2 linked regions of the Canis lupus familiaris genome follow. Each later gene encodes a partner of the first gene's protein in a complex. Links are inferred from orthologs where the notes say so. Each region holds a gene or a part of one and is shown on either strand. Other genes may lie near its edges.

What was found.
Region 2: the proteins of KATNB1 (region 1) and KATNA1 are in contact, whole or in part, in a crystal structure (PDB 5OW5), measured with the Mus musculus proteins. The link is inferred for Canis lupus familiaris from reciprocal best matches to the Homo sapiens genes KATNB1 and KATNA1. Residues at the interface, in NP_083081.2 of Mus musculus: Leu485, Val486, Asp487, Glu488, Ala490, Met491, Gln493, Ile494, Arg495, Gly497, His498, Met501, Phe502, Val504, Leu505, Thr506, Arg508, His509, Leu512, Asp513, Val515, Arg516, Trp519, Thr521, Asp542, Leu543, Ile546, Gln549, Lys550, Leu553; in NP_035965.2 of Mus musculus: Leu5, Gln6, Ile8, Val9, Val12, Arg16, Ala19, Leu20, Leu21, Gly22, Tyr24, Tyr31, Tyr41, Leu50, Lys53, Trp54, Gln56, Val57, Glu60, Ile61, Val63, Glu64, Gln67, Val68, Asp70, Ile71, Thr74, Leu75, Ser77, Phe78.

The regions. Positions count from the first base shown.
Region 1 is NC_049223.1:58,005,258-58,009,434, reverse strand, and holds the end of KATNB1 (katanin p80 WD40 repeat-containing subunit B1), read left to right. Parts: coding exon 1-28; intron 29-144; coding exon 145-275; intron 276-694; coding exon 695-745; intron 746-1,665; coding exon 1,666-1,733; intron 1,734-1,843; coding exon 1,844-1,963; intron 1,964-2,054; coding exon 2,055-2,204; intron 2,205-2,453; coding exon 2,454-2,530; intron 2,531-2,610; coding exon 2,611-2,685; intron 2,686-2,920; coding exon 2,921-3,037; intron 3,038-3,266; coding exon 3,267-3,399; 3' UTR 3,400-3,677; downstream 3,678-4,177.
Region 2 is NC_049222.1:40,682,080-40,686,173, reverse strand, and holds the start of KATNA1 (katanin p60 ATPase-containing subunit A1), read left to right. Parts: upstream 1-1,294; 5' UTR 1,295-1,548; intron 1,549-4,094. UniProt on the Homo sapiens protein: Catalytic subunit of a complex which severs microtubules in an ATP-dependent manner. Microtubule severing may promote rapid reorganization of cellular microtubule arrays and the release of microtubules from the centrosome following nucleation.

The sequences.
Region 1 (4,177 bases):
CCAGCACAGCCTGCAACAAGCCTCAGAGGTGGGGTGCTCAGGGCCCAGAGGGCTCGGGAGGCAGGCTGGCACTGGGGAGGTTTTGGGGGAGCCCAGCTGCAGCTCACTGGGCTGGCCTCCCGTTGCCTTGGCCCTGCCCCACAGGGTGAAGCAGAATTCAGAGAGTGAGCGCCGAAGCCCCAGCAGCGAGGACGACCGGGACGAGCGGGAGTCTCGGGCCGAGATCCAGAACACCGAGGAGTACAACGAGATCTTCCAGCCCAAGAACAGCATCAGTGAGGCCTGCCCCCCGCCCCCCCACCCACCTAGCCGAACGTCCCATCTGTGCATAGAGACAGACGGTGTCAATGTCAGTGACAGTGTCACTGTCGGGGACAGTGTCAATGTCGCTCTGTTTCCGACGCTGGGTTCCCAGCTCACACCTGGGCCCCGGCTCCGTTCCCAGGTCCTCAAGGCCCCAGAAGAGGCCTGGCAGCCCGCCCTGAGCAAAGGCAGGCCCCATGGGGGCAAGTAGATGGGAGGGGGCAGACCTGAGGGTTCCTGGGACCGGGAACAGGGTCACGAGTCTGCAGCTGTGTGTGTACCAGAGAGCCACCTCCCGTCCCCCGTGTCCCAGGCCAGCCTGGCCCTTAAGGCTCAGGCAGGACCCCGGGCTGGCCAACGGGAGAGTCCCCAGCCCTCTTTGCCTCTGCAGGTCGGACACCACCCCGAAGAAGTGAGCCCTTCCCAGCACCCCCTGAGGACGGTGAGTACAGAGCCTGGCCTCCTGGGGGCACCAGCTCCAGCCTCTCTCCCACCAGATCTTTTTCCTATGCTCACCTAAAAGCACCTACTGTGCGCTGGGCTCCACCCTAGATTCTGGTGCATGAGCAAGGCAGGCAGGTGCTGTCCTCAGGAGCCTGCACCCTAGTGAGGAGGGCAGGAGGCAGCCAGATGGGACTGTAGATGGGACTGTCTGTAGATGGGACAGCACCGTGGAGGCAAGGGCGGGGCTGGTGAGAGAGAGCTGCTGAGGGCCTGTAGGAGAGGGAGGAGCTGGGGAGAGCCACAGGTGGGGAGGGGGTGGAGGCAGAGGGGCAGGGCTCCCTGGGGTCTGGGAGCAGGAAGCCAGGCCCTAGCTGGGGATTTGGGTTTTGCTGCTGGGAGAAAACATGATCTGCTTTCTGATTGGAGAAGAAGCCGGGGTGGGGCACCCTTGTCCCACAGACCAGCCCTCCCCTTCACCTGGCTTCCTCTTCAATGGGCCATCTTCTCATTCCCCCTGCACGTGGGGTTTCCTGTGCTTCCTGCTCACCATGCACTCACTGCCAGCCCACCCCAGCACACACACTCCATTCCCAGTGAGGGGCCAGGCCACTCCTGGGAGCTCCCTGGCTCCCATCTGCAGGCAGTGCTTGACACCTGCTTTCTGCCAGATTTGTGGGTGAGTGGGTGGAGAAAGGGAGGGAACATCTAGCCCCCACCCTCAAGCCTCCCCAGGAGTCTCCCCACCTCTCCCCCCACATACACACTGCTGCTGTCTCCTTCCCCAGTTGCCCCATTGGCTCCTGCTTCATCCCCCCAGTTAACAGATGCAGCCCAGAGGCCCACCATAAGCCCCGCCTTCTTCCCCAGCCAGTCCCTCTGGCCTGACCCGACCCAAAGATCTTTCCCTTTTGCCTCCAGACATGGCCACAGCCAAGGAGGTGGCAAAGCCCAGCCCAGCCACGGACTCGCAGTTCCCGGTGCCAAATGTATGTCTGGGTGGAGAGGGCATGGTAGGGCTGGGAGAGGGGCCCTCCGTGCCAGGGTGGGCGGAGAGGGGGCCTCAGGCTGGCCACCCACTGAGCTCCAGCCCCAACAGCTCGAGGTCCTGCTCCGGCCCCCGGCTGTCACTTCCACTCCTGCGCCCAAGGCTGAGCCTGCCATCATCCCAGCTACCCGGAATGAGCCCATCGGGCTAAAGGCGTCTGACTTCCTGCCCGTGAGTGGGGGCCCAGCCCCGGGGCAGGGTGGAAGCCTGTGGGGCAAGGACAGAACGTCACCGTTGGCACCTGGGCACTCGTCCTACGCAGGCCGTGAAGATCCCCCAGCAGGTGGAGCTGGTCGACGAGGACGCCATGTCACAGATCCGCAAAGGCCATGACACCATGTGTGTGGTACTTACCAGCCGCCACAAGAACCTGGACACCGTGCGGGCTGTGTGGACCACGGGTGACATCAAGGCAAGCACTTTTCCCCCAGGCTTTGGGCTGACCCCAGACAGCGGCTGCACAAGGGCAGAGGGGCCCCTGTCACCACTCTGGCTGATTTCATGCCATCATCGTCATCATTTATTGAGCGCTTCTTTACGGACCTGGCCTCACCCATCATTTTAGCTACAGTCTTGTTAACACCCCACAACAAAGCCCATCATGACGCCACTCCCCGGGCAGGGGCTCCAGGCCCCTCTGACAGGTGCTCTGTTTGCATAGACGTCAGTGGACTCAGCTGTGGCCATCAATGACCTGTCCGTGGTCGTGGACCTCCTTAACATTGTCAACCAGAAAGCGTAAGTAGGCGTGGTGGGCGGAGCGGGTCGAGTGAGTGGAGCCAGGTGCTGAGGGTACCTGTCCCTGGTCCTCTCCTCAGCTCCCTGTGGAAGCTGGATCTGTGCACCACGGTCTTGCCGCAGATCGAGAAACTTCTGCAGAGCAAGTATGAGAGGTACATGTAGGGAAGCCATACCTGCCTTACCACAGGGACGGGGAGGGACAATGGGAAGGACCCCCCAAGGCCAGTGCCCCTGGGAGGTGGGTGTGTAGCAGTGCTGTCCCCTGCAGGTGGGAAGCCATGGTGCACACAGGCCTGTGCTGCCCCTGGCCCCCTGCCTACCCCCTCTGTCTTTGTGTACCCTGCTCTCCATCTTTCTCTCTGTGGCTCTGTCCATCTGCCTCTGAAGCTATGTCCAGACCGGCTGCACCTCCCTGAAGCTGATCCTGCAGCGGTTTCTGCCCCTGATCACTGACATCTTAGCAGCACCCCCCTCTGTGGGTGTAGACATCAGCCGGGAGGAGAGGTGAGGGGCCAGGTGGGGTGTGAATGTTGGGGTACACAGGTCTGGGGGCCCAGCCTGCTTGCTGATGGCTCTGCTGGAATAGCCCACAGAGGAGGTTGTGCCTGGGCTTGTCCGTGGCCTGGCCTGGGTGGGTCCTGTACCCTGGGCCTCGGCCAGCCTCCCAGAGGAGGGCGGGAGTAGTTCAGCAGGAAAGGGCCTAGCCCTTCGTGCACTACTTCTCTGCCCACAGGCTACACAAGTGCCGGCTCTGCTACAAGCAGCTCAAGAGCATCAGTGGCCTCGTCAAGAGCAAGTCAAGTTTGAGTGGCCGTCATGGCAGCGCCTTCCGAGAGCTGCACCTACTCATGGCCAGTTTGGACTGAGGAGCTTTCGGCCTGGCCTCAGCCCCTAATCCTGTCCCCTGTGCGCTCCTGGGCCCAGGAGCCTCTGCCCAGCCCCCGCTGCAGCCCTGTGGCCACCCTGGAGGCGGCAGCGCTGGCCCACCAGCCACCTGCACAGCCCCCGAGCTCTCAGACAACTTCTCCCCAGCAGCGGCTGCCCAGCTTTGCCAACTCCCGCTTCCTGGGGCAGCAAAGAGCGCCCTGGGGCTGCTGGTGTAATTTATAAGGTCAATTTTATTAAATTTGTAACTATTCCCTGGTTTCTTTGCCTGGAGGGGAATTCTCTGGCCACGCAGCTCAGCTCGCTCAGGCCCAGGACTGGCCTGTCTTGGCCCCTCTGAGCCAAGAGGCAGTGTGGCCAGCTGGGGGCAGCAGAGTGCCCGGCCTGCCGGAAGGGGCCAGTGCAGAGCACGCTGGGGGAGGAGCGGAGGCACCCCCCTCTTCCAAGGCTAAGGGAGACAGGAGAGGGGTGGGCCCCACCAGCCCATCCCCTCCATCTCAGCCACGCTCCCAGCTGTCCTGCGGATGCCTCAGGGGCCGGCCGACAGCTGTATGCTTCCAGGTGCCAGGACCCCAAGCCTCACAGGCTTGGCCACCACTGAGCCCACCACCCTCCCCAACGCCTCCAGGAGGCCTCCTGGGACAGGGCTGGAAGGGCAGTGGCCCTCCTCCCAGGAGGATCCCCCAGCGCTGACCCCTTCTGCTCCTGTGGCAGCCCTAGTTGGAGAGAGGGCCCCACTGAGCCCCTGTGCACATTCCC
Region 2 (4,094 bases), on another chromosome or scaffold:
CTCTGCCTCTTTCTCTGTTTCATAAATAAATAGATAGTAAACTAATTACAATTTCCGGTGCTCTGTTACTGTGGAGTTCCTATCCACAGCAACACTTATTCTCTACTTAGCTGAGAATTTTAGGTAGCCCAGGTGGCTGGGTGGTTTAGCGCCGCCTTTATCCGGGAGTGTGATCCTGGAGACTCAGGATCGAGTCCCACATTGGGGCCCCTGCATGGAGCCTCCCTCTGTGTCTCTCATGAATAAATAAATAAAAATTTTTAAAATGTGTGACTTTAATCTCCATGAGACATTACACGTATGTTTTTAAAGATTTTGTTTATTTATTCATGAGAGACACACAGAGGCAGAGACACAGGCAGAGGGGGAAGCAGGCTCCCTGCAGGGAGCCCCACACGGGACTCCATCCCAGGGCCCCAGGATCACGCCCGGAGAGGAAGGCAGATGCTTAACCGCTGGGCCACTCAGGCGTCCGGAGACATTATATTTTTTTGATTGCTGTATACCTGATGCCTACCACAGTGTCAACAGCATCGTAGTTGCTCAATAAATATCAGTGGAATAAATGGATAGCTTTCCTTTGAACTGAATGTCTTTATATAAATCTGTGTTAAATTACTGCGATGATTTAAGATTATAATTTCAACGACCATGCGCTCCTAAAGGAGAACGCGTCTCGCACCTCTTGCCTCTTAGGTGTTGGGACAGGACGGAGATGGAGGCTGAGGAAGCCTGGCCAGTTGTACCGTGGAGCACGCATCTGCAAATCCTGGCACATCACAGTATTGTGTTGTCCGCTTGCATTAAAATGATGGCCAAAAAAATAAATAAATAAATAAATAAATAAATAAATCAAGAAAACAAAACTCCACGAGCAGCATGTCCGCATATCTTCGTTCACCCATTCCCTATGTTATCAGTCTTAGGTCGTGACCAGCGCCCCAGTCGAATTCTGCGTTATTTGGTTCTAAAACTGGATCTGTCATAAATTATTTGGCCCTTGGCACTCACCAGTAAAACAGACCCTCTGGCTTCCTAACCTCTGAGGAGCACGGTGGAAATCAAATGGGAGGAAAAGGGAGCGAGAACTTTGAAGAAGATACCAAGGTACGACGTGGGATGCTACTAGCTTCACGCCGCGCATCCCTACTACCCGCCCCGAACGCCGCCAGGAGACCGTGCGGACTGCGCAGGCGCGCCCCTGCAGCCCCGCCCCCCGCCCCCCCCCCCCCCCCCCCCCGGCCTGGCGCCCGGCGCGCGCACGCCGCCCGGCGTCCTCGCTCCCGGGGCGTCGCGTCGCGTGCGCTGGAGCCGCCGAGGCCGCCCCCAGCACCGGAAGTGACCCTGGCGGGTTTGCCTTCAAATTCTCGGCGAGCTGAAGCGGCGCCGGGGCTGGTGGCGGTTGGACATCGCCGTCCTGGGGCGGTGAGCACAGAGCAGAGTGGTTGGGGCTGCGCAGGGCCCGGCCTCCTCGCCGCCCTGAGCCCGCACGGCCCTTCCCCTCCGCCTGGCGGTGGGCGGCTTCCCACGGAGCCTCGGCAGCCGCAGGTGAGTGTTCACCCCCGACCCCCCGGGCCCGCTCGGCGAGGCGCTCGGGCGGCGACGAGCCCGCCTCGCATCCTCCCCTGAGCCTGCCCTGAGCCTGCCCTTGGCTGCGCCGGGGTCTTGGGTCCTTGCTGTTGTCGCTGACACCTGTGGCTCAGGTGACGCGTCCCCTACCTGAGGAGTGCTGTCGAGCCTGGGATTCGGGGGGCCCCTGGCGCTCCCCTTGCTAGGCCTGTGTCATCGGAGGAGTCTCTCATCGGAAAAAAACGTCTTTCTTTATTCCTTCGCTTTTTTTTTTTTTTTTTTTTTTTTTGAGCGGCTGTCCTCGGAATCTGCCCACGCACCCGCCCCAAACCCTCACCCCCGAAAAACCTTGAAAACCTTGACAGCGGGATGCAACTTCTCTTACATTTTGTTAGATACGAGTGATATTGTTGAGGATATGCTTTATTCTGGCGCCCCGCGTCCTCTGGGAGGCTTTTGGCCCTTTTGGTCCAGAGTTGGTACCTTTTGGCAAATGTATCCCTCGAAACATTTGTTTCAGATCGTATATTTCTAGGGTGACGAAGTTGGAGATAACGTGGATCCTTACGTGCCCCCTACAGCGGATAGTCTCAGCCCTTATTTAATCAAAAATAATTTTCTCCTTTTAACTGCGAAGTGCTGTTTTATATCAGTTACTAAATTTCCAGCAGCACAATTTTGCATCCTTTTCTCCTGAAAGCATTCACTTCTGTGTTTCTCCTTGAAATCCTACCTTTAGTTACTGCTAAAAACATTCCTAATGTTTTAGAACCTCTGCCACAACGATAGAAAACCACCGTGTCAAGAAAGATTCTTGTAAAGTTCACAGGCTTCTAAATGTCTCAATGTGTAGCCGCATTGTCTTTTCCAAAGGAGATGATTTTTGTAATCAGGGAGTTCTCACACAGAAATAACTGCAGAACTCTATTTTGTAATTTCTATTAATTTGTGGCCTGTATCATGCCTTAAAAAAAAAATTTTTTTTTTTTTTTTTAAAGCAGTGCTGATCAATTTCCAACATTCCTAAACCGTGGAAAGCTATGTAAAGCTCCTCTAGGGCATTGGTTATTCAAGAAGCTTTTACACTTTACAGATTCAGTACTCAGCATACTATATATACAATGGATTCTGCATCTTATTTTGAAACTGATGTCATAGTTTGACAAATACTAAGGATTTGGGAATCTTGTAGAATTCACTGTACTAACAACATTGTTGAATTTCTTTTTTTTTTTTTTTTTTAAGATTTTATTTATTCATGAGAGACAGAGAGAGAGAGGCAGAGGGAGAAGCAGGCCCTCCCTCTAGGAACTGAATGCAGCACTCGATCCCTGCACCCAGGAATCACAACCTGAGCTAAAGGCAGTGTTCCACCACGGAGCCACCCAGGTGTCCCGACATTGTTGAATATATGTTTGCGACAATGGTTTAGGTTTTTCTTTTTGGCTATGTGATTGGTAAAAAAAAAAAAGATAGTGTATCAAATCAGTATAATCAATATTGACAACATGATAAATAGATATGCTTATAGTGTTTATTGCTATGGCTTGAATATGGCTTTTATTTTATTTTTTTTAAGATTTTATTTATTTATTTGAGAGACAGAGAGCACAAGCAGGGGGAGTGGCAGAGGAAGAGGGAGAAGCAGGCTCCACTCTGACCAGGGAGCCGGATGCGGGGCTTCATCTTAGGAACCTGGGACATGACCTGAGCCACCCAGGTGCCCCTGAATATGGCTTTTAAATTACATCTTAATTGTTATATTGACTTATTTTTGTTTTGTTCAGGGTAAACTGAGAGGTTATCAAATACATATTTATGTATTCTTTTTTTCCTGAGCAAGCACACTTGGATAACTTTCTTGTTCTTCTTGAGTATTTATCATATGGTGATTATAAAGGTAGGAAAAATGTATGCCATGCTATAATTGGTCATGGATCACTCATTTATTGTATATATTTATAATTGTTAGTGACTAAGTTAGCATTATGGTTGTTTTCATATCCCAGAGATGAACTTTCTGAACATTGCTTAATAGTATTGTCACTTTTAAAGTTACATACACTTGATTTACTGAAATTCCTTCAAGAAAATCTATGAATGAGGTTCATTTGTTTTTGTTTTAGGACATCAGTTTTACAGATAAATATTTTCAACATAGGTGTTGATTTTTGTAGCCTGTGCTTAATAATATGCCATGCTTCTCCTAAGTGAAGCAAATACACCTAGAATAGATCAATGATGTTCTATTAAACTTCAAGGATATAAAGGTTTAAGTCTTATTTTTGTTTTCAGTGCAATTCCTTGGAACTGAGTAGTTACCCAGTTAATATTTCCTGAGTGAGTGACCTATGCACATTACAGTAAAAACTGGAATATTAGTGGAACCCAGCCTGACTCCCTAAAATATTAAATGGATATGATATTCTTAGGTGTGGAATAGGGAAGGCCTCATATTTTTTTTGGGGGGGGGGGGAGTGTAGGAATCTCAGAACCTCAGATGTTTGGATCTATTGCCTATTCTT